Linked DNA regions of Caenorhabditis elegans. The protein of the gene in region 1 interacts with the protein of each later gene in a pairwise test. Each region holds a gene or a part of one and is shown in the gene's direction. Other genes may lie near its edges.

What was found.
Region 2: the proteins of cul-1 (region 1) and skr-9 interact in a two-hybrid assay, tested with the Caenorhabditis elegans proteins (one study listed by BioGRID).
Region 3: the proteins of cul-1 (region 1) and sup-36 interact in a two-hybrid assay, tested with the Caenorhabditis elegans proteins (one study listed by BioGRID).

Annotation. Positions count from the first base shown.
Region 1 is NC_003281.10:10,467,651-10,477,802, forward strand, and holds cul-1 (Cullin-1), read left to right. Parts: upstream 1-3,586; 5' UTR 3,587-3,587; coding exon 3,588-3,715; intron 3,716-3,769; coding exon 3,770-5,000; intron 5,001-5,522; coding exon 5,523-5,984; intron 5,985-6,143; coding exon 6,144-6,470; intron 6,471-6,525; coding exon 6,526-6,588; intron 6,589-7,102; coding exon 7,103-7,234; 3' UTR 7,235-7,479; downstream 7,480-10,152. Other genes in the region: D2045.5 (non-specific serine/threonine protein kinase), read right to left, coding at 457-1,028, 1,316-1,766, 1,821-1,853; D2045.9 (Glycosyltransferase 25 family member), read left to right, coding at 8,338-8,597, 9,270-9,429, 9,721-10,152. UniProt on the Caenorhabditis elegans protein: Probable core component of multiple cullin-RING-based SCF (SKP1-CUL1-F-box) E3 ubiquitin-protein ligase complexes which mediate the ubiquitination and subsequent proteasomal degradation of target proteins.
Region 2 is NC_003282.8:17,160,479-17,167,297, forward strand, and holds skr-9 (Skp1-related protein), read left to right. Parts: upstream 1-3,094; coding exon 3,095-3,679; downstream 3,680-6,819. Other genes in the region: skr-13 (Skp1-related protein), read right to left, coding at 1,619-2,137; skr-8 (Skp1-related protein), read right to left, coding at 4,772-5,356; skr-12 (Skp1-related protein), read left to right, coding at 6,796-6,819.
Region 3 is NC_003282.8:6,598,710-6,605,583, forward strand, and holds sup-36 (SUPpressor), read left to right. Parts: upstream 1-2,964; 5' UTR 2,965-2,996; coding exon 2,997-3,110; intron 3,111-3,170; coding exon 3,171-3,566; 3' UTR 3,567-3,734; downstream 3,735-6,874. Other genes in the region: nspb-5 (Nematode Specific Peptide family, group B), read left to right, coding at 489-680, 730-783; F38A5.8 (uncharacterized protein), read left to right, coding at 1,173-1,373, 1,591-1,782; F15B10.3 (BTB domain-containing protein), read left to right, coding at 3,971-4,027, 4,571-4,693, 4,754-5,149; nstp-2 (UDP-xylose and UDP-N-acetylglucosamine transporter), read right to left, coding at 5,464-5,570, 5,984-6,114, 6,162-6,304, 6,354-6,650.

The DNA of each region.
Region 1 (10,152 bases):
TTTGTATCCCCTCTTGTGGGTAAAGTTCACACCGCCAATACCTCCTCCTCCTCCTTCTCCCCACACAAATTACTTGTAGTGTCGGAAAAAGTACACTTTTCCGTACACGAAGGATCATGTCAAAATGCTCCTTTCACTTTTTATTCGTTATTTCTCTCGCTCTGCCTTCCTGATTATCCGTTTCCGAGACCGTCTTATTCTTTTTTTTTCTTGTAAAACCAAACCAATAATCCTTCCTTTTTTCTTTTTTTTTGAGCAATACCATCCCTCCCCCCACAACAAAATCTATAATTTATTTCCTTAACATTATTATCTTCAACCATCTCGCGCACACTACTCATATTCTAGTGAATGCCCCTTTCCCCCGTCCCCCAGATGTAATAAACATCAATTATTGCTCATTGTATTTTTTTTCACAAATTCATAGTTTCAGGGGTCAATCAGTTCAGAAATAGTTCAAAGATTGAGGATCTTCTTCTTAAAATGAGCAGAATCCGCATACGGCCAGATCTTCTTCGCCATTTGCATCTTCGTCGCCACCTTATAATCGTTAGGAGCTCTCTTCTCACTGATCGACAGAGCCGTGAACATCTCCTCACCACCGCCCTTCCCAAGCTCCCACTCGAATCGGCCAAAGAACGATCCACGGACTCTCTTGAAACCGGCAAAGCACTCGCTCCACAGGCCGAAATAATCCGGGCGGCTCTTGTATTCCAGTGTCTCCAGGTACTTGTGAATATTCGCAAATTCCTTGGGACACCCTTTCAACAAAGTTTCCATGGAGCATGCAATCTTCGCGTCCATAATCTCCTTCTCATCGGTCAGTCGGCGCCACGGGAGCCCACAATGAAGCTCGATGAGCATGTAGAGCCACGACCAGAGATCATCGACGCGTCCCTGCTCTTTCCGATTGTGAACGTTCATGCTGCAATAGCGAGGAGTTCCACGGAATAGTTGCTCGCCGGATCGAGCTCTGCGGAGTGCGGTCTCTCCGTTCTCTCGTTTGGCGGTGAATTGACGGACCATTCCTGAACGAAGTTTGGTGTGATTTTTGAATCAAAAATACGGTGCCGGGTCTCGACACGACAAACATGTGTGTTGAATGCGACGTGCACCTTTAAAGATTACTGTACATTTCAGTTTTTCATGATTCAGAGGATGGATCTGGAAAGTGTTTTTTTTTCGAGAAAAAACGCAACATAAGGAAAACAGTTAAAAAAAATTACAGTACTCATTTAAAGGCGCACACCTTCTCGCATCAAACAAAATATTGTCGTGTCGAGTAACGGGATCGTCAAAATTCGTAAAAATTTACCATAATCAATAAGATAGACGTTTTTGGCGTCACTCCCATGAACCCCGGTCACACAATTTCCCGGCTTAATATCCCGATGAGTGAATCCCACTTCATGAATCTGTTTGATAGCAAACAACGTTGCCATCGCGAGACGAAGAGTCGTCTGCTCACAGAATCTCGGAGTATTAGCATCCCGTTTATGAGCCATCAGATCCTTGCCAAGAAGAGTCATCACCATGAAACAATACGATTTTCGATCGCCAGCATCCATCAATCTTGCACAAAACGGCAGTGGAGCCAGTGATTTGAGCACGTGAGCCTCCAGCTTCAGAACCCCGCCGTCACTCACGTCTCCCTCGACTTTCATTGCGGCGTATGTCTGAAAGCGGGTCAGATCTCGTACTTTGAACACCGCACCCATACCGCCTTCGCCGAGTTTTTCAACGATTTTCCAACGCTTTGCGATTATCTGAAATTGAGGGAAATTGTGAATTTCCGGCTGAAAATGCTCAGAGAAACTCACTTTTCCTTCTGTGATCGCTTGAATTTCTTCCATACTGATTCTGACCACGAAATCGATTGAAACTGTGTAGCTAATAGAGAAATGTAGCTTTTCGAAATATTGAAATAAATTTAATTATTTATTCAATCCTTTTATGTATTGGTTTTTTGTTATTCACATTTTAAAATATTTTTTATTTTTCACGGCCGTTGTTCACCGATCATATGATTACGGTGAAAATTCTAAAACTATTTATTTCCTATTTTATACCAAATAGTTGCAACATATTCTGATAAATCATGTAAGTCTTGTAAGAATACAAAATGTTCTTAGATTTAATTAATGTTGTTTTTTCTTGTTATTCCAGGTACAGTATCTTTTTAAAGGCGCACGAACTAATAAGTTTACCGAGTCCCGCCAAGAACTGTTTCGAGTTTTACAGCGATTTTTGTTCATTTTTTTTCAGTTTTTGTCTATTTATTTGTGAAAGAATAATTTCTCCTCTTTTCCGCAATAGAAATATAAAAAATGATTACAGTTTTATGGGCTCCTGTTTAAAAAACCTAGTTCTACAGTACTTCGATTATTACTTCCACTAATTAAAATTTCCTTTGGGCATCGCCAGGATCGATGTACAGTTAAAAATCTGTTTTCCACCTGTTGTTTTATCGAATTCTTTTTTTACTTTTTTTTCTGCATAAAATGCATGTTTTCTCCAGTTTTTCTCGAATGAAAACGCGTTTTTCAACTTTAAACTATTAAAAATTCGCTTTCGTGTATTTTGCACATCGAAACACCTAAAAAACAAACTTTGCTATTGTTAAAACCTTAGAAAACTCCGCCCGTTCATTGCACAGCCGCTAATCATTCCCTCCTGTGACCTTTCTTTTCCAGATCATCCCGCCATCTCAGCTGTCTTTTGTGCACTAACAGAACCATTGTACTCACCAGAATTTCTTTAAGAATCGATGAAGACACAAGATGAGGCGTCTCTAGCTTGTGTCGCGCAGTCTCCGTCTCCAAGGGTGTTTAGCTCACTGAAATGGGCTCTGAAAAATCAACTGAAATTCGCTTTTTTTCTGTTCTTGGAAATTCCTGAGTCCCGGGGAAAATGAAATAGTCTAAAATTATTATTATTTAGGTGTCTTTCATCTGAAAATTTTCCAAAATTCACAGAGTTTTTGAAAATCTCCTGTTAAGAACAATTTAATTTATTTCCCCAGTATCACTTGAAAAGCTAGAATTATCGCTGGAACAATTTCCTTATGTATTTATTTAATTTCCCCTTTTCCCAGGCTAGCAAATTAGAAAATCTCCTATTTTCCCTCCAATTCCCAGTTAAATTTATCGATTTGCGGTGAGAATCGCGTCCGAGGGCAATCGATTTACTGTCTTCCCGCGATTTTCAGCGCGTCTTCTTAATTTCCAGTCGGAGGCTCACTATCGAGTCATTTCTAACGTCTGCTGGCTCACAAGTATCCCCATTCAGTGATGGCTCTGGATTTTCGTCTTTTTTTTCTATTCTTCCAGGATATCTATATTTCTCCCCCAATTTTGCTCCAGTTTTCCAATTTTTTTGAAAACATCTATTTTTCCGGGATCTCATAAATTTTCTCAATTTCAAGCCCATTATTTCCACCTTCGGTGACTTTTTCCCAACACATGATGATTTTGGATTGGAGCGCGTTTGCGTTTGGGCCCTTGTTTCCTCGTTCCTCTGTTTCTTGCGAAATTGACAAATCCCTTGATTTTAATCGACAATTATTTTTTAAAAATGTGTTTTTCAGTATGACAAATAGCGAACCGAGAAGAATGACGTGTGATTCCGAGGTGGTTTGGAAGAAATTACAAGATGGACTTGATGTAGCGTATCGCAGAGAAAATATGGCGCCAAAAGACTATATGACTCTTTACACGTAAGATTTCCCCCCGAAATTCCACAGAAACTCAATAAAATCTTTAATTTTCAGAAGCGTCTATGACTACTGCACATCGATAACATTGTCCACAAGCCGCCGAGACGGCGAAGACGGTCGAGCAGAATCTTCAACTCCAGCACGAACCGCTGGCGCGGATTTTGTCGGTCACGAGATGTACCAGCGTGTTGAGGAATATGTAAAAGCGTACGTAATCGCTGTTTGTGAAAAGGGCGCCGAGTTGTCGGGCGAGGATCTTCTGAAATACTACACAACTGAATGGGAGAACTTCCGAATCTCGTCGAAGGTGATGGATGGTATTTTTGCCTACCTCAATCGTCATTGGATCAGACGTGAGCTCGACGAGGGCCATGAGAACATTTACATGGTTTATACACTTGCGTTGGTCGTCTGGAAGCGTAACTTGTTCAATGATCTTAAGGATAAGGTGATTGATGCGATGCTCGAGCTGATTCGTTCCGAGAGAACCGGATCCATGATCAACAGCCGATACATTTCTGGAGTTGTCGAGTGTCTTGTGGAGTTGGGTGTTGACGATTCGGAGACCGATGCGAAGAAGGACGCGGAGACCAAGAAGCTGGCCGTTTACAAGGAATTCTTCGAAGTCAAGTTTTTGGAGGCGACCCGCGGATTTTATACCCAAGAGGCGGCAAATTTCCTGAGCAACGGAGGAAATGTGACAGATTACATGATTAAAGTGGAGACAAGACTTAATCAAGAGGATGATCGCTGTCAACTCTACCTGAATTCTTCCACAAAAACTCCACTTGCAACTTGCTGTGAATCTGTGCTCATCTCTAATCAGCTTGACTTCCTCCAGAGACACTTCGGTGGTCTTCTTGTCGATAAACGAGACGATGACCTTTCCAGAATGTTCAAGCTTTGCGATAGAGTGCCGAATGGACTCGACGAGCTCAGAAAATCCCTGGAGAATCACATCGCAAAGGAGGGTCACCAGGCGTTGGAAAGAGTTGCTATGGAGGCGGCAACCGACGCGAAACTCTACGTGAAGACGCTTCTGGAGGTTCATGAACGTTATCAAAGCCTTGTCAATCGATCATTCAAAAATGAGCCAGGATTCATGCAATCACTCGATAAGGCGGCGACTTCTTTTATCAATAATAATGCCGTCACTAAACGTGCCCCGCCACAGGCTCAGTTGACAAAGTCCGCGGAGCTTCTTGCCAGATATTGTGATCAACTGCTCAGAAAAAGCTCGAAGATGCCCGATGAGGCGGAGCTCGAGGAGTTGCAGACGAAGATTGTAGGTTTTTCTCGCTTTTTTTTTTCTCAAAATGGCGTAATTTCCAGCTAAAATTTGAAATTTAACCAACTTTTTGCATATTTTGGTTGTTTATTTCGTTGATTGAGGAACATTTTCGATCGATGAGTGCACACTGCGAAACTGATAAGTTGGCTAAATTTGAGATTTTCGCTGAAAAAAAAAAACAGATTCCTCTCCTTTTTTTCATATCGTTTTTCATACCGATTTTTTCATATCGATTCATATCGAGGCTTCTCAAAATTTCGAAAAATACGGCAATTTTCCCAACTTTTCAATTATTTACCTTTTTCTGACGTTTAAATGTGGCTATAAATCGACCTAAATCAACGAAAAACGCCAGTAATCAATTAAAAATCAATTTCCGACATACGGGAAAATTTGAGGTTTTATCTAAAATTGCCATATTAAAGGATTAAAAGATTTAAAATATTTCAAACCTCCATAGAAATGAAAACCCAATTTCTAAAAAGTTAGCTCAAAATTCTAAAATTTCTATTCCAGATGGTTGTGTTCAAGTACATTGACGATAAGGATGTATTCTCCAAATTCTACACGAAAATGTTCAGCAAACGACTTATCAGTGAACTCTCAGCAAGTGATGAAGCCGAGGCTAACTTTATCACGAAGCTCAAGAGTATGTGCGGGTACGAGTATACCGCCCGTCTCTCGAAAATGGTCAACGATACTCAAGTCAGCAAGGATTTAACCGCGGATTTCAAGGAAAAGAAAGCGGATATGCTCGGCCAGAAATCCGTTGAATTCAATGTTCTCGTGCTCAGTTCGGGCTCATGGCCGACTTTCCCAACGACACCAATAACTCTTCCACAGCAGCTGTCGAAGACTATTGAGATCTTTGGACAATTCTACAATGAGAAGTTCAATGGACGTCGGCTCACGTGGGTTTACTCGCAGAGTCGTGGAGAGATCACTTCTACAGCTTTTCCCAAGAAATATGTGTTTACTGTAAGTTTAAACGTGGAATTTCTATCTAAAAATATTTTTTAAAAATCCGGAAGAAAATGCCTGAAAAAAGTCCAAAATTTTACTATCTGCCACCCAGCTAAAATTTGAATTTTCACTTGGATTTTATCGAATAACAGCTAAAAACCTAAAATTTTCCAGGCCACAACTGCTCAAATGTGCACAATGCTTTTGTTCAACGAACAGGACTCGTACACTGTCGAACAAATCGCCGCTGCCACAAAAATGGACGAAAAGTCAGCACCAGCCATTGTCGGCTCTCTCATCAAAAATCTTGTGCTCAAAGCGGACACAGAACTCCAAAAAGAGGATGAAGTACCGATGACGGCGACCGTAAGCCTCAACAAAGCCTACATGAACAAGAAAGTTCGTGTCGATTTGTCAAAATTCACGATGAAGCAGGACGCCGTGCGTGATACGGAAAATGTGCAGAAAAATGTTGAGGAGGATCGGAAGAGCGTGATTAGTGTAAGTTTTTGATGAGAAATCGGCGGTTTTGGAGAGAAAAATTCAATAATTTCAGGCTTGCATCGTAAGAATCATGAAAACTCGCAAACGTGTACAGCATCAGCAGCTTATGACAGAGGTTCGTTTGGAAATTTCAAATTTTCGAAAAAAATCGATAAAATCTACGTGGAAATTTAATTTTAATGAACTTTCGAAAAAAATCTGATTATGGAAAAACGAGTTTTTCATAATTTGTTGATAAAATCTACGTGGAAATTCAAATTTTCTATACATTTTCGTAAAAAAAACGCGTCGAAATTCGAATTTCTTATGAAATTTCGATAAAATTCTCTTGGAAATTCAATTTTCAAAAAAAAAGTTCACCTGAAATTGGTAGAAACTCTGTAAAAATTGAAAAAAAAATCTTCAAAATTTTCGAGCTTTCGTAGTGCATTTTCAACACAAAATTCTGAAGAAATAAATTAAAACCCCTAAAATAAAAGATGATATCCACGTGGAAAATCAAGTTTTCCATGAAATTTGAAAAAAAAAAATCACCGGAAAAATCGAATTTTCTTTGAAATTTTAAAAAACTCCACTTGGAAATTCAAAGAAAAAACATCTAAAACCCTCTAAATATGATATTTTTGCAGGTGATCACACAACTTTCCGGTCGATTCAAGCCAAAGGTTGAAATGATCAAGAGATGCATTGGATCACTCATCGAAAAGGAATATATGCTCCGTACAGAAGGACAAAAAGATCTCTATGAGTACCTCGCCTAATTCATTTCATTTTAAATATTCTATTTTCTCTTTTAAAAACTATTTTTCCCCTTTACTTTTTTCGCCCAGTTTTATTCTCCACCCTCTTCTTCCCTTCATATCCGTGTTTTTGAAAACTTCAACACCATCTGTATTCTATTACTTATTCTCCTCTCCAAGTCCCTCCTTATTCGATTGTTCTTCTTTACAGAAGCGGGTCCTGGCTTCATTTTGCGCTCTCTGGTAAATGGTCCTGGGTTTTGTAAATCGTTTGTGTGTAGAATATTCGAAAAACCGTATACTCGGTAAACCTTTTTGATTTTTTTTCGTCTTTTTTCGGAAAAATTAAAAAAAAATTCAACTTCCAAGTGAATTTTTCAGTTTTTTCAAGGCCAAATGCAAAAAGGTGAGTAGTCACTTGAACCACAGACAACAAAAAAATCGATGACGAATTATTACAACAAGACAATTTGGATGAGACACTACTGCTGCTCTGACCCCTCCGTCTGTTCACCAGATGCACTTTTTCCCACTGCTCTGAGTCTTCACACTAATGCTTTGCTCAGTCTTCTCTGTTTATAGACTACTATTTGAAGGCTAACTTTCCACGTTGCGTTGACCGGGAAATTTGAATTTTCAGTTGTTTTTTATTACACAGTCGCGAAATTTTCCGTACCCGGTCTCGACGTGACAAATTTTTGCTAAATGTGAAAAGGTGTGCGCCTTTAAAGAGTACTGTAATTTCAAATTTTCGTTTTTGTGTAATTTTCTTCGATTTTTTTAAAAAGTTTTACTTTAAACATTTGTTTATTTCAAAAATATAACAGTAAACGTACATAAATTTCAGCAAAAATTGTGAGAAAAACTTTGAAATATCGATTAAAATTTCGCTGAAACGAAAGTTTGATATTACAGTACTCTTTAAAGGCACACATCCTTTTGCGTTTAACGAAAATTGTCGTTTCAAGACCGGGATATCTTATTTTTTGGCGTAAAAATCGCAATTAGAAATTCCAATCTTCACTGTATAATGGAAACTTTAAAAAATTCTACTATTCTAATATTTTTTAGAACTTTTTTGAAAAAAATCGATAAAAAGTTTCCAGAATCCCTTCACAAAATATATGACCGAATTTCTACACTGCTTATTACTCTTCCACGTGTTTCTGAGCTCGTGGGCTCTATTTCCGGGAGCTGAGCCAGATGAGGGAGACGTTCGGCACATTTATCCGCCGGTGTATATAGGGGTTGGGCTCGGTGAGCACGCCCACGCAATTCCATACTTTTTGGGTTGGCTGGAGAATTTGGATTATCCAAAGGATAGGATTAAAGTGGAAATTTTCATTTTAAGCAAGGAAGATGCGACGATTCATCAGGTTAAATGGTTGGTTTAAAGGCGCATAACTTGCAAACCACAGGAACATGGATTAAGCTTAGTCTTAGGTTTAGGCGTAGGCGTAGGCTTAGGCTCAGGCTTTGGCTTAGGCTTAGGCTTATGCCCATGCGTAGGCTTAGGCGCAGGTTTAGGCTTGGCGTCAGTGGCGAGCGTTAGCTGACGCTATTTAGGCTTGGGTTTATAGCGTTTTTTCATTTTTCAAAGGGTTCCCGTTGGCCGATCAAAGCGAAATTTAACAGAGAGTCGTATAGGCCACCAAGAAGCTTAAGTCTGAAGTTTCAAATTGATTCCATCAATTAGGCTTAGGCTTGGGCTTGGGCTTTGGCTTAGGCTTAGGCTTATGCTTATTCGTAGGCTTAGGCTTAGGTATAGACATAGACTTAGGCTTAGCCTTAGGCTTAAGATTCGGCTTAGGCTTACGCTTAAGCTTAGGCTTAGTCTTAGGATTTTGCTTAGGGTTAGGCTTAGGCTAAGGTTTAGGCTTAGGCATAAGATCAGGCTTAGGCTCAGGCGTACGCTTAGGCTTAGGTTTACGCTTAGGCTCCTTAACTTCGTGCTCCTGCAACTTTTTGAAAAAACTGCTGAAAAAAAATGGCAACGAACAAATTGTAGCATGGAAAATATTTTGTCAGATAATTTTCCAAAAAACGTAGTTTTCAGGTGGCTAGACTCTACAAAACAATACTTCAAATCTGTCAAAATAATCGAAGAATCAGAAAATTGGCTGGAAAGCGGATTGAGGAATGCGAGACTTCAAAAAGTTGAACGTTGTCTTCTTATTTCAGGAGATACAGTTCCAACTGAGATGAATTTGATTCAGGTGAGAAATAGGTAACAAATTAGATTTGCGCGTCAAATATGGTGCATCGTTTGACGGAATTTGCTAAGAAAAACTCAAGTGATGGTGCATTGAAGATGGCTTCAGCACATATTTTAGTTGTGGACTAAATGCACCATATTTGACGCATCTCCAACAATTTTCAAAGTCTAAATTATAGTTAGTCTGTATACATATATCTAGTTTTGACAAGTCTAAATTAAAAATTGGAAAGTTTCAGATTTAAAAAAAATCGAATATATATTTTTTTAAATCCAGTTCCAAAAGTTTCAGTTTCTATTCAACGAAAAAACCCACGTGGCAGTATCCCCACTTTTCCAATCAATAGATGGATCCTCCAACATCGATGAACCTTCTGAAACCCTCATAAATCAAAATAATGTTCGCGAAGAAATTCTGTCATTTTCACTTCCATTGGCAATTGATTTGACAACTATTGATTCATCTTATCTAACATTTGATAAGGATAATCTTCCAAATTATGAAGGTGCCGATGATCCGTCGGAAGTTTTTGTGGTGTCTGCCAAGAATATGGGTATACAGTTATGGGCTGACAATCAAGTCAATTATGGATTTTTTGTGAATCCGGAGAAGGATATTGAAGAGAGAAGAAGCACGATTCGATATCAAATTGCGGATTTTTTAGCCGATGAGCGGCCACTTCCATTTGTTTCCAGAAGTGTGAGACCATGGCAATCAGAAGCC
Region 2 (6,819 bases), on another chromosome or scaffold:
GTTACCACTACAAATTTTGTTGATAAAGGGTGTCACGAGCCACGTTGACCACGAAAAGAGATGGGGAGGGTGAATTTTAAAAACATTAAGGGATTTTGGAGGGCTTCTGGAAGAGTGAAAATATTTTTAAGATTAAAATTAAGTTATTTAAAATTTCAAACTCAAAGTTAAACTATTAGAAAAGCATTATTTATAATTGATTATAATTTCTCTGAAACATTAAAAATAAATTTGATCAACAAAAAAAAAGAAAATCAGTTTTCCAAAACAATTAAATTTAGTCCCAAGAATGAAAACATCAGAGAGGTATTGAAAAGAAATTTAAAATTAAACAAATTAAAAACTCTTGAAACAGTAATTTACAAATGTCATTCCTTGAAAATTGTCTTTTTGAAAATTTAGTTTTTTTAAAGGATTTTAAGTGGTAATGTTATTTTGAAAAGTGGTTTTTATTCAAAAATTTGGAAATCTTTCATTACATTTTAGTACACAGTTTAATGGTGGGTTTTACATTTTTGCAAAAAAAGTTCAAATTCCTGACTGAGTAATTTTTGAATTCCCGCGCAAACAAAAAATCTGTGTTGGCTTTCAAACTTTTTTGGTACTCTAAAATTGTTCTAAAAATCGAAAAAAAAATGTCTGAAATTTAAAACTTTTTTTTTGCAATATCGAAAACTTCTGGTACATTTTTTAAACAGTAGAATTGCCTTGTTACGATCCATTTCTATATTTTACAGCAGAACTCCTGTCAACCATACTCCACCTCTGGATTGTTTTCAAAAATTAAAAGTATTAAGAAAAAAAAATTACAGTTTCAAATATGTCTGAAAAAAATTACAGAAAAAATATCAGCAGTACGACCAAAAATGAGATTGAGTTTATATGTTTCAAATTTTTTTCATGAAATTTCGGGAACTAAGAAAAATTCAACTGAAACTATAATTGATGTTTACGTGGAATTAGGAAGAATTCGACTAGAAGGCAGGCAGGCAAGTAGGCAGGAAGAAAATATGTACTTCAGAGTAAAATTTGGTTAGTTTTCTTTCAGGGATTTGGAAATTGAACGTTTGCTGGTGATTGCCACTTTACATTAAAACAACAATTTTTTGATAATGCATGCTGACAATTGTTATTAAATTTTCGAATTTCCTGCAGTTTCAATCAGGTTTTATAAGTTTAAAGCTTTCTTGAGCTACACTTTAACAAATATAGATTAATAAACTATTAAAATAGGTAATTTTTGAAAATTAATAGTAACCCAGAAAATAAAATTTTTTTAAAAAATATTAGAATCCTCTGATAAGGAGAAGTACAATGGAAAATCTGAAAATTGAAAAAATTTTATGAAACACTTGAAACAGGAAATGTTTTAATTTTTGATAAGATGTTGTCTCAAAAATTGCAACAATTACAAATTCTCTCCAAATGTTTTTTTTAAGTTTACATTTAAATTTTCACAACTTTATTTTCTCTGTGGAATGTGGGAGAAATAGGCAAATAAACCCACCGTGGGCTCATCAGCTCACTTTTGTCGTTTGTGTAAAATTTGCTTAGTTAGCTTTATTATTGTCAACAGCGGAATAACGATTTGTCGTAATTTTAAAAAAACATCCATAAATTAGGCAACTTCAGCGGCAGCTTTCTGTGCAGTTTCCTCAGCAGCATCCTGTTCATCCGTATTGATTCCAAAGATCTCTCTGAGTTCAGCAGTTGTTTTGCCCTTTGCCATGTTGGAAACAGTCTTACATCCATAGTACATGAGACCCTTGATGTCAAGGAAGTTTGAAGCCAGAATCAAATCAAACAGAGCTTCATCCTCAATTTTCAAAAACTTTTGATCCCATTCTGGAATGGTAAGAGTCTTGAGAACATTCATATTGTCCTCTGGAATTGCATCGGCTTTGTGCTTCTCACACAATTCAGCAACCTTCGCCATAGTCTTTCCATTCACATTTGTAACTGGAATTGGATCACGGGTCTCGATGTTTTCGATGGTGTAGCCGAGATTCTCAATCAGATTGCTCAGAGTTTTCGATTGTTGAACGGCTTTTTCACTCATTTTGGATACAACTCCATCGCTCGAAATGATCTTGTAAACGATTTCAGCAGCTGGAGCATCGGCAACTGGAGCAGACATAGTGATGACTAGGTAGATTCTGAAAATGTCAGATATGAGCTATTTAGGTTCAAAAGTTAAGGTTCAAAGAAAAGAGAGAGAAAAATTGAGAAATCACTATTAAAAAAAACAACCAGTTCACAATGCAACTGATGTATCGAATGATGGATGACTGAATAGATGTGCTCATACGCGACGCGCACTCAAAATAAATCGATACATTTCTGTGGGAAATTACCTAACCGTTGAGGGATGACTGGGAAAAATGTAAGGTTGACAGATGTGATCGACTCGAAGAAAACTAGAATCGATGAAATTTGAAAATAAAAAATTGGAAGAATAAATTTTAAAAATTTACTGTTTCAACATAACTTTATAAAATGTCATCTTCATATTAATGATAATGCTGATGTAAAATGGTTGGAAGATTTTTGGAAAAATGCCAAATACACGCAACACACAAATTGTACGGAATTGCAAAAATCACAGGGAAAAACTGAAAGTGAGTGCCTGCCACTAAAGAAAATAATGTAGATTGAATGCAAGTGAACATGATAGGTAATTATAGACAGTGAGCAGTCAGCCGACGCTGTGCTGAAAATCAGTCGATAATATAATGGGTAAGTCCTCTGTCGAGCTGAAAGAAGAGCAGCTGGTAATTGTTCACTGACCTAATACGCAATCGATAAGCTACATTTGCAGCGTTCTTGTCATATTCTGAATATTGTCCATTCGAAGAATCATTCTGTCGTTTGGCTCGCATCGCGAACAGTCGCATTTCATTTTTTCTCTCCTTTTCTTTATTTGTCTGATTTTATTTTAGTTTTTTATTTCCTTTTACCTTTCTGATCTTTTGAATGGTGCCCAACTACCCTTTTATAAAAAATTTTCTCTTAACGTTATTCCTCGCCAGTCTTCCATATTTTGTTACGATCTTTATCAATTCATATTTTTTAGAAACTACCCAAACTTCTAAAAATGATTGCTGAAGCCGCCGCGGTCGAAGTTCAAGCCAACGAGGCTCCAGTTGTTGCTCCAATCATGTACAAGGTCGAATCGAATGATGGAAAAGTGTTCGAAATCAGTGATGAAGCAGTTAAACAATCAAATATCCTCTCCAATCTGATCTCTACTTGTGCTCCAGAGGATGTTGCTTCAATGGATCCAATTCCAATCACAAATGTCATTGGAAATATCCTGAAGATGGTCATTGAGTGGTGTGAGAAACACAAAGGAGAAGCGCTTCCAGTTGAAGATGACAGTGTTCCAAAGCATGTCAATGTTCCCGAATGGGATACCAACTTCTTGAAAATCGACAACGACGTGCTCTTCGACTTGATCGTTGCCTGTAACTACCTTGATGTGCCTGGATTAATGAATTACGGATGTAAGATTGTTGCCATGATGGCCATTGGAAAGTCTCCAGATGAGTTGAGAATCATCTTTGCAATTCCAACTGATGAAGAGGATGAAGCTGCGGAGAGAGCTGCTAAGGAGAAGGCTGAAGCTGAGAAGAAGGCAATCACCGACAAGGACGCAGCTGAGCCATCAACTTCCAAATAACTTTCACACTTTTATTTTCGAGTTTTTGGTAAATAAATACATTTGACTGTCATTATAAGTTTTTAAAAAAAAATTTCAGACTGAAATTGAATGTAAAAAATAAGAAAAATTAGTACGTATAAAAGAGAAAATCTTAGAATTTGTTAAACAGTTGATATAGTGTTAAAGTTGTACGATATAACTGTAAACCGTTTCAATAATTATTAGTAATATTATTACTTACAGTTGATTTGAAAACGAACATTCCTTAAAAAAAACCAATATACAAACGTTATGCAGAAGTAAGCTTTGAAATAATGAAAAGTAATGCTTGTAATATTTTGTAAAAACATTCGCGAAAAGGGCCAAAAAGATTTGAAGATGTTCAACGAACAATTTGTAGACTACACGTAATTCAAATTTATTCGATTTTTTTGGGTCAAATTCCAAAACTATGATAAATGTTTGACTATTTGAAATCTTCAACAAAGAAATCCAAATATCTTGCAAATTGTTGTGCTCAATTGAATAAAAGATGGAATAAAACAACAGAGTTGGAAACATTACATTTTTGAAACGATAAATTCGAAACAGTAGATTTTATCAGAATAAAAACTTTTTTTAAATTTTTTTTGTATTATTCTTTCTGTGCTCGGCCTCATTTTCTTGAAAGTAAAAAAAAATCTGAAATTCATATTTACATAAATTGTAATGGCAGCCAAAGGTGTTAGTTGATCAAAAACTCGAAAAATTTGTTTCATGGAAACGAGTCACACTAAGGTAGGCGTGTCATGTAGGCACAACCGATTTTTAGAAATAAATATAATTGTTCGAGCGTTTGAAATAATTAACAAAAGAATTCAAATGTTTTGCACATTGTTTGGTAATGTACTCTTATGATTAAAATTGAACTACAATTGAATTGAGTGCTATCATAGTCCTAAAATTATGAATCCAAAACCGTTGGTTTTCTTTTTCTATAGGTAATCCTATTTTTCATGTTTTCGACTACATCTTCTGTAATTTTAACTTTAAATTATTTTTATAAAAACGTCGAATCACAATCAAATTTATTAATGTCATCAAAAACTTGAAAAAATTAGAGCATGAAAGTTATTTGGAAGTTGATGGTTCAGCTGCGTCCTTGTCAGCAATTGCCTTCTTCTCAGCTTCAGCCTTCTCCTTTGCAGCTCTCTCCGCAGCTTCATCTTCTTCATCAGTTGGAATTGCAAAGATGATTCTCAACTCATCAGGAGATTTTCCGATAGCCATGTTGGCAACCATCTTGCATCCATAATTCATTAATCCAGGCACATCAAGGTAGTTGCAGGCAACGATCAAGTCGAAGAGCACTTCGTTGTCGATTTTCAAGAAGTTGGTATCCCATTCGGGAACATTTATATTCTTTGGAACACTGTCATCTTCAACTGGAAGCGCTTCTCCTTTGTGCTTCTCACACCACTCAATGACCATCTTCAGGATATTTCCAGTGACATTTGTGATTGGAATTGGATCCATTGAAGCAACATCCTCTGGAGCACAAGTAGAGATCAGATTGGAGAGGATATTTGATTGTTTAACTGCTTCATCACTGATTTCGAACACTTTTCCATCATTCGATTCGACCTTGTACATGATTGGAGCAACAACTGGAGCCTCGTTGGCTTGAACTTCGACCGCGGCGGCTTCAGCAATCATTTTTAGAAGTTTGGGTAGTTTCTAAAAAATATGAATTGATAAAGATCGTAACAAAATATGGAAGACTGGCGAGGAATAACGTTAAGAGAAAATTTTTTATAAAAGGGTAGTTGGGCACCATTCAAAAGATCAGAAAGGTAAAAGGAAATAAAAAACTAAAATAAAATCAGACAAATAAAGAAAAGGAGAGAAAAAATGAAATGCGACTGTTCGCGATGAGAGCCAAACGACAGAATAATTCTTCGAATGGACAATATTCAGAATATGACAAGAACGCTGCAAATGTAGCGTATCGGTTACGTTGTAGATCAGTTATTGATTGGAAAATGTACATACACTGCTCTATTGAAGCTGTATTAGCTGCTGTTCTTCGTTCACCTCGATAGTCACAGGGACTTGTCCATTGTGCAGTTCATCGATTAATTATTAGCACAGCGTCTGCAGACTCTGTATTGCTTGGTACCCATTCTTTCATTATGCAATTTTTTGTTCAAGGCGAGCAGTGTTCTGATTTTTTCCATGTTGCTGTTTCTTTTCCCATTTCTGGTTTTTTTTACTACCATTTTCTATTACGCACACCAGATCGTCGTTTTAAAGTGCAGGGCTGTACAACTAATCCTAACTACTATGCTGACGATATTTTCTTACATAACACTGTGTTGAAACAATAAATTTTAAACAGTTTTTTCCAATATTTAGTTTTGGCATATCAGCGATTTTAGTTTGAACCCAGTCGATTAAATTTCTTTATTACTTCTTTCCTAGTCATCTCTCAACGGTTAGGCAATTCCCCACTGCAAAGTATCAATCTATTTCGTCTGCGCGTTGAGTCTGTGCACAATTTTTAGTTATTCATCAATTATTCTATCAATCAGTTGCATTGTGAGCTGTACATGACAGGAGCATCATCATTGATATGGAGATGAACTTTTCCTTTTTTTTTGGGATGAAAAAATTCTCAAAAAATTTTCCCGTGGTGGAGAGTTGAACTCATCCCCTCCCCCCTAGGAACTTGTTGCCTGTGACTAAATTGTTTGTTTGTTTTTTCCATGAGTTCAACTCTCCACCACGGGAAAATTTTTTGCGAATTTTTTCATCCCAAAAAAAAAGGAAAAAATGGTGTAACAGTTAATTTTTAATAGTTATTTCTCCAATTGTTTGTTTTGAAATTTTATCGGTTCGAGTTTGCGTCCAGTCGATCACATCTGTCAACCGTACATCGTTACCAGTCAACACTCAACGGTTGGGCAATTTCCCACAAAAATGTATCGATTTATTTTGTGCACAACTGTTTAGTTGTTCATCGTTTATTCTATTCATCAGTTGCATTGTGAGCTGGTCGTTTTTTCCTCTTTTCGTTTGCTTTTATTCATTTGTTTTATATTGTTTATCTTATTCAATTAATCGTTCAAATTTTCAGATCCTCTCTACTTACAATAATGTCTGCTCCAATTGTCGATGCC
Region 3 (6,874 bases), on another chromosome or scaffold:
CACATTTCATTTGGACCATGTCCGAGGATTTTTGAGGTTTAGGTGAATTTCATAGCTGTTCTCAAAGATTGAACTCACATTCGTTTTTTTTAATGCTAATTATGTATAACAGAGTAAATCTTTAAGAAATGAAGTAATTCAGGAATATTTAATAACGGTAATTTTAATACGGTTTCATAGTTAATATAATTGTGTTCCAATTCCCCATCTCCAATAATTCGTCTATACCAAACAGTTAGTCAGAGAGTTCAAGGTGTGCCTGAAATGACAGTCCATACCTTTTTAAGCAAACATCATTCGAAGTATTTTATCGTATGTGTGATTCACATAAAACTCGTCGTCTATATAAAGCGGTAACGTCGTCTATATAAAGCGGTAACGTCGTCTATATAAAGCGGTAACGTCGTCTATATAAAGCGGTAACGTTATATAAGCGGTAACTTTTCAATTTTCCAATCACTTCCGAGTCTCACCTGAAAAATCTAAAAATGTTCCAAAAATCCACAATTGTCATGATTTTTGCCCTTTTCTGTATTTCATCGTGTCAAGTTTTATATACTCCTGTTGTATCATCTCCATATTATTATGCTTCATCTCCAGTTGCTTCTGCTTATCCATATGCTTATGCTTATGGAGCTGCTGCTTATCCAACTGCATATTATGGATGGGGATCTAATAAGGTAATAAGATATCAGTTAGCATTCAATATTTAAATATCTATAAATTCAGGGACAACAAGCACCATCTTCTGCTCCAACTCAGAAATTGACAAATAATCAATGATCTCTCATTTGAAATATATGCACAATAAGAACTATTTGAAATGTCAAAATAAATTATCTGACTTTATTTGTGAAGCCCTAAAATTATTCCACAGCAATAAACACTTAAAAACAAAAAATCTTAACACAAAATTTTTAATTAAAAAATGTGGTTAAAAATACTACAAAATATTTTTTCAACGTAACAACCTTAAATGTTCTAAAAGCCGAAATGTTGTTTTTTGAACATATATAATAAAAAATCAATATTCCTATCTTTGTATGATATTTATCAATTAAAATTCATATATAACGAAAATTTTAAAGGTAAGTTCCGGGCTTCTCAAGCAGAATTTTAGAACTTAACCACATAATTATTTCAGAATTTGTAAAAGTGTCTATCAAAAAAGAATGGCAGACGATGGATACGAAGTAATTGGTCCCGTCTATTCGGTGCCTCCTCTTGCATCACCGATGCCCACGATGGTTCCTCCATCGCCACTCGCAGTCACTCCAAAGGTTAAAAAGGATGAAGATTCTGGATCAAGTGCGGCGGAGACGACCAGAGCCGGAAAACATCGAAAAAGGACAAACGCCTCAGAGTATGAAGTGGTTGGTTTTTTAATGATTTTGGCTTTTTTTAGCGATCTAGCTTTTCTTGTTGAGAAAATACTGAAAAGAATAGTATGACATGAGTATTGGTTAACAGAAAAGTCCCAGAAGTTTCTGTAATTTTGTTAAATTCTTCAAAACAAGAATCTTCAAAAAAGCCTTTTTTTTTAATTGAAAGTAACTCCTCTTTGCTTACATCAATATTATATAAATTCAGAGCAATATGGAGAGCACCCACCATGATGTAGTTTCGATCAAGCACAGACCAAACTCGTGTGACGTTTGCCACGTGGCGACTCTTTTGTTCCTGATTGTTATGGTGATCGCCATATCGACTCCAGTTCTCCTTTCTGCAAGTAAGGGCGGACTTCCATGGATTGAGAATAAGTTGATGGAAGAGTCTAATTAAGAGTACTGCCGAGTTTGAATAAAGATTTTATGGGGAATTTTTTTGTACTCACATCTTTCAAAAGTTTCCTGAAAAATTACTAAGCTTACAGTAACCTTACAGTAACGCTCTTTACGCAAATGTAAAACTTTTACATGTATTTACATAAACAAAAGTTTTACATATTTAAAATGACCATGCTTTTTTCAAAAATCTCAACGCTTTAAAGCGCTATGAACCCCTGAAGCGCCAAAATCTCTGCGTCTATTTAATTTGAATTCCGCGCGCAAATGAGCGACCATCGTGTACTCTCGGACAATCAAATAATTTGTTGATTTTCCACAAGTTTATGTGTTCTTCGAATTTTCTCATTATTTTTCAGTTTTTTAATTGTATTAATAAATTTATGAATGCATTTTGAATGGATTGATGCTCAATGAGACAAAACTCTTGTTTTATTGAATTATTTGGTTGTATTCCCGCATTTTTTCTATTCCACTGAAAAATAAGTTTTTTTTTCATTTCGATCTTTGGGATCTTTCAAATATGACTATTTTCTCTTATTTCTACGAATAACTTCATCTATTGAAAGTACTCTAGTTTCCCAATTCAAGAAAAAACATTTTTACATGAATGTGAATTCCCTCTCGAGACTTATCCGAATAATTAAAAGAACTTTTTACTACTCCTTCCAGAATATTAAAAATCTACCGTTGTCTATCTTCCAAAGTGTTCATTGCTCCATTCGCAATAACATTTTTATCGCACAATAATAACCGTTTTCTCAGCCACTGTTTTTCCAATCCACTTGTTACACTACACTCGAAATATCGGGAAAGTTCAAATTCCACTGTTCCAAGTTCCAAATGTATTGGTTGCAGTATCGATCGGAAAACAATAAACTCCACTCATCCTGCGTAGCACACCTCCTTCTATTTCGAAATCAATGTTTCCTCGTCATATGTTGTATCTCTCACACCCTCCGTCTTCTTCTCTATACTTGTAAAAGAGCGCGTCGCGCAATACTCATAGAGTTTCATTCTTTTGCATTTATTCAGTCATTCATCATATTCTTCTTTTCTCTTGCTTATCTTTGGAATTCCTCTGACATTCATTCTACCATTTACTAGAATTATAACATTGATTTTGTAAATACTCTTCCTCATTCTCTTGCAATAAAAAACAATTTCCTAACCGAAATCATTTCAGAACTTGCACTACATCTTCCGTTAACAATGCCATCTTGCGAGATCAAATTCGACTTCAACGACTCTGACGAGTCAGTCACTGTTCGTGAAACTCGCATTATCCTGCTTCTTCCAGTCATCCGTCGCGCTGTTGAGCTCCAGGTAAGATATCAGATTTTTTTTTTTGAGAAATATAGATTTAAAAATAAACGTTTTTTTCAGTATCCGGATTTCGCGACCGAGGAGAATGCGGTGATTGAAGCTCCATTCAGGGTTCCATTCAAGAAGGATGCTGGAGTATTCCTCTTCGATACCATCGCTCGCTACGCTGCACCAACCGATGACAATGTCCATGAGATCACTGTTGAACAAAGTTACCCAGAAGCTGGACCGAAGACCTTGGATGAGCTCAAAGAAATCATTGAACTCGCCAACTTCTGGGAGTGTACCACTTACATGGAGTGCATCGGATTTGCGATTGCAAAGAAGTTGGAGGACAAGACCATCGAAGAGATCGCCGCTTTCATGGGAGTCGAATGCAATCCACCAGGAAACTTCTTCGCAGAGGAAGACGGATGGATTCATCCACCAGCAGACGCTTTCCAGAATGTCCAATAGATCCGATCCCCTCGTAATTTGCTCTGATCTCCCACTGCCAATTTCCATGATTTTGTGTTAAATATATTCAAGCTCAATACTTTCACTTTTTACCTCCTTGTAATATATTAAATACTTATCAGAACTTTTTCAAATTGATTTTAAGGAATGAATAAAATGATTTTCTCGAAATGTGCTCACAAATCTTAAAAAGAACTCGAAATCAGAATTGCCAAAAAAATCAACAGAGAGGAAAGTAATTGAGGACGATTCATGCAAAATTACAGTATCAACTCGATTAGTTCAACCGTGAATTGAATAAAAAAAATCGACGTCAAATCCACGGAAACAAGGTTGCCACGATTTTCAGAGGTACTCGCCCTATTCCAGTTATTCCGGATTTTGATGAATTACCGTAGCTCACGATGTTTACTATTCCTTTCAAATTGAAAGTTTCAATGTCATCATACTTCCGTGAAAAAGTGAGACATTCAGTTTTAAAGGCACATGATTTTTTTCTGAGTTATTATCGCGACGATTTCGGCTAGTGCTCACGCTTTTACAAATGTATGATAGCTCTCCTAGTTGAATTTTGTTTTAATCTGAAAACGTTTAAATGGGAATATTCAGCCCAGATGTTCTGCTTTTAATACTACATGTGCAAATTTGGAACACTGCCAAGTGATCGATATTATTGTGTATCTGACATTGTTCAATATATATCTACTTCCAATTTACAAAGGGTCATAGATTGCCCTTTCTTCCTACAATAGCAATCTTGGCAGTGATGTTTACCTCTAACGTCTTGCCAATGTATTCTAGGTCACATCTTTCGACTTTCTTCCCACTGTTCCACATTGATTGTGACAATGAGCACAGTTTAAAGCGTCGTAGCAGCTGGTATATCTTTTCTTTCTATTCATTCATAAGACTTTTGTAATATTTAGTTTAACCAATTGTTTCTTTCTCCGCGCGGAGTTTTCCATTCTCATAAATCTTTCATTTTCAAAAATTCGTTTTTTCAGCCAATAATAATGCCATCCTGCGAGATCAATCTCATCTTCAATGACTCTGAGGAGCCAGTCACCCTACGTGATACGGGGATCATTATGCTAGTTCCAGTGATTCTTCGGTCGGTTCAGTCTGAGGTACGTTAGCCCTGAATTCAAAATTAGTATTTTCGAAACTAAATCTCGAATTCTTTGCAGTTCCCCGACTTTGAGAATCAAGATAACGTCAAGGTTACTTCTCCACTTTCAATTCCGTTCAATAAGAAGGCAGGTGTCTTCCTCTTCGAATATATTCAAAAATATGTTCCACCAAATGATGATACAATCCACGAATTGACAGTCGTCGAGAACTACAAAGAAGCTGGACAGAAGACTTTGGATGAGCTCAAAGAAATCATTGAGCTAGCCAACTTCTTCGAGTGTACTGATTTCATGGAATGTTTGGGATTTGTGATCGGAAAGAAGTTGGAAGACAAATCAGTTGAGGAGATCGCTGCGTACATGGGTGTGGAATGTAATGCACCGGGACACTTTTTCGATGAAGCCGATGGATGGGTTCATCCACCAGCAGATGCATTCCAGAATGTCCAATAGATCCGATTCTCCCCCAGTTTGCTCCGATCTCGTTCTGCTAATTTTCATGATTTTTTGTTAAATACAACCTCAATACTTTCAATTCTCGTTTCACTGCAATAAAACTTGTTGACTATATATTTACTTCCACTGTTTGAATTTTAAAGTTTCTGAAATAGTTTATAAAAACTTGGAAAAAATATCACAATACTTGAATCAGGATGCAATAGAAATGAGCACTATAAAAGCTAGCGGCAATCGGGGAAAAATGACAGATCAGTGAAACTTTGGGATTTGGAAAGCGTCGAGAAACATGGTACATTGAACGTGATTATCTACTGTTTCTTCTTCTCATCTTGCTTGTTGGCAGTTTGACTTCCCCAAATATCAGCAAATGCAAGAGTTCCAGCAAAGACAAGAATGGCTCCAAGCCAATGTTGAGCTGAAAAAGAGAGGAATTTTGATTTCTAAAGACGATTTTTTAGTATTTCTTTTTTTTTCCTTTCAGATTAGATTATGGAGCCCTAGTTTACGACCAAAAGAATCACATAACGTTTTTTAAAACATTTGATTTTGGTACAAAGATATGGTACCCGGTCTCTGAACGACCAAAACTTCCCAGCTACCGTACCCGCAAGTGTTCTAATTTTCTACGACTTTTCTGTTTTTTTTCTTCAATATTTTGATTGATCTCCATCAGGAAAAATGTTCTAATTTTTGCATTATAAATTATGAAAAATTGAGCGAAACTCTAAAAATATGCTTTAGGTATGGTAACCGCGAAGTTTCGATTGTGTCGAGACCAGGAACCTTTCTAATCACTTTTACAATTAAAAAAGTCAATAATAATCTTACGTGTAAATGGATTCTTGAAATAGACAATGGAAACGATAAGTGAGAGGAATTTCCGAAGAGTAACAACCAGCGTGACGGTGAGCGAATCAACACGAGAGTTCAGTTGATAGACGTACTTGATGCATCCGTATCTGAAAGAAATATTATATTTATTTGCTAATATCTAAAATTCACTTACTGAAGAAGACAACTTGCAATCAAATCAACCCAGAGAGATGGAAGCCATGGGAATACAGAATGTGGAGCACTGGCAGAAAGTTTCGTAGCCGCTGACACAATGTCGCTTCCCATGATGAGGAAGAATGGAAGTGAGATCAAATGCTAGAAATAAGTTCAGTCAAAATTATTGAATTTGAATGAGGTTACTTACAGTAATGAACATAGCTTCATCTGGATGTTTCCCATACTTCTCGTACATTTGTTGTTGATAGATTGCTAAAACAGCTGAAGCCAATAGAGCAAAAGTGAGCATAATAATTCCAATCGTCCATTCCTTATAATGTTTCGATGCTTCTTCCATCGAAAGTCCCGAATCTCCTTGTGTTGACGTGGCAAGTGTGCAAATGACAATTCCGATGGTAATAGCGAATACGGAAATGTATTTCCGAGCAGAATAACTTTTACCAACCATAACAACTGAGAGAATCAATGTGGCAAGAAGAGAACCCTGAAAAAGTAGGTTTAGCCGGTTTTGAATGAATTTTACATAATTTAAATTGCTTATAAAACCTCTAAAACTAATCATCCGCCAAGGGTGTATTTTTTGGAAAATCGAACATTTTAATTTTTTAAAAAGATTTTTCAAAAAATACCTGTAATTTTTGGTTTCGAATTACATATTTTCATATGTCATAAATTCATCGAAAATTTGGAAATAGTTTGTTAATTTTT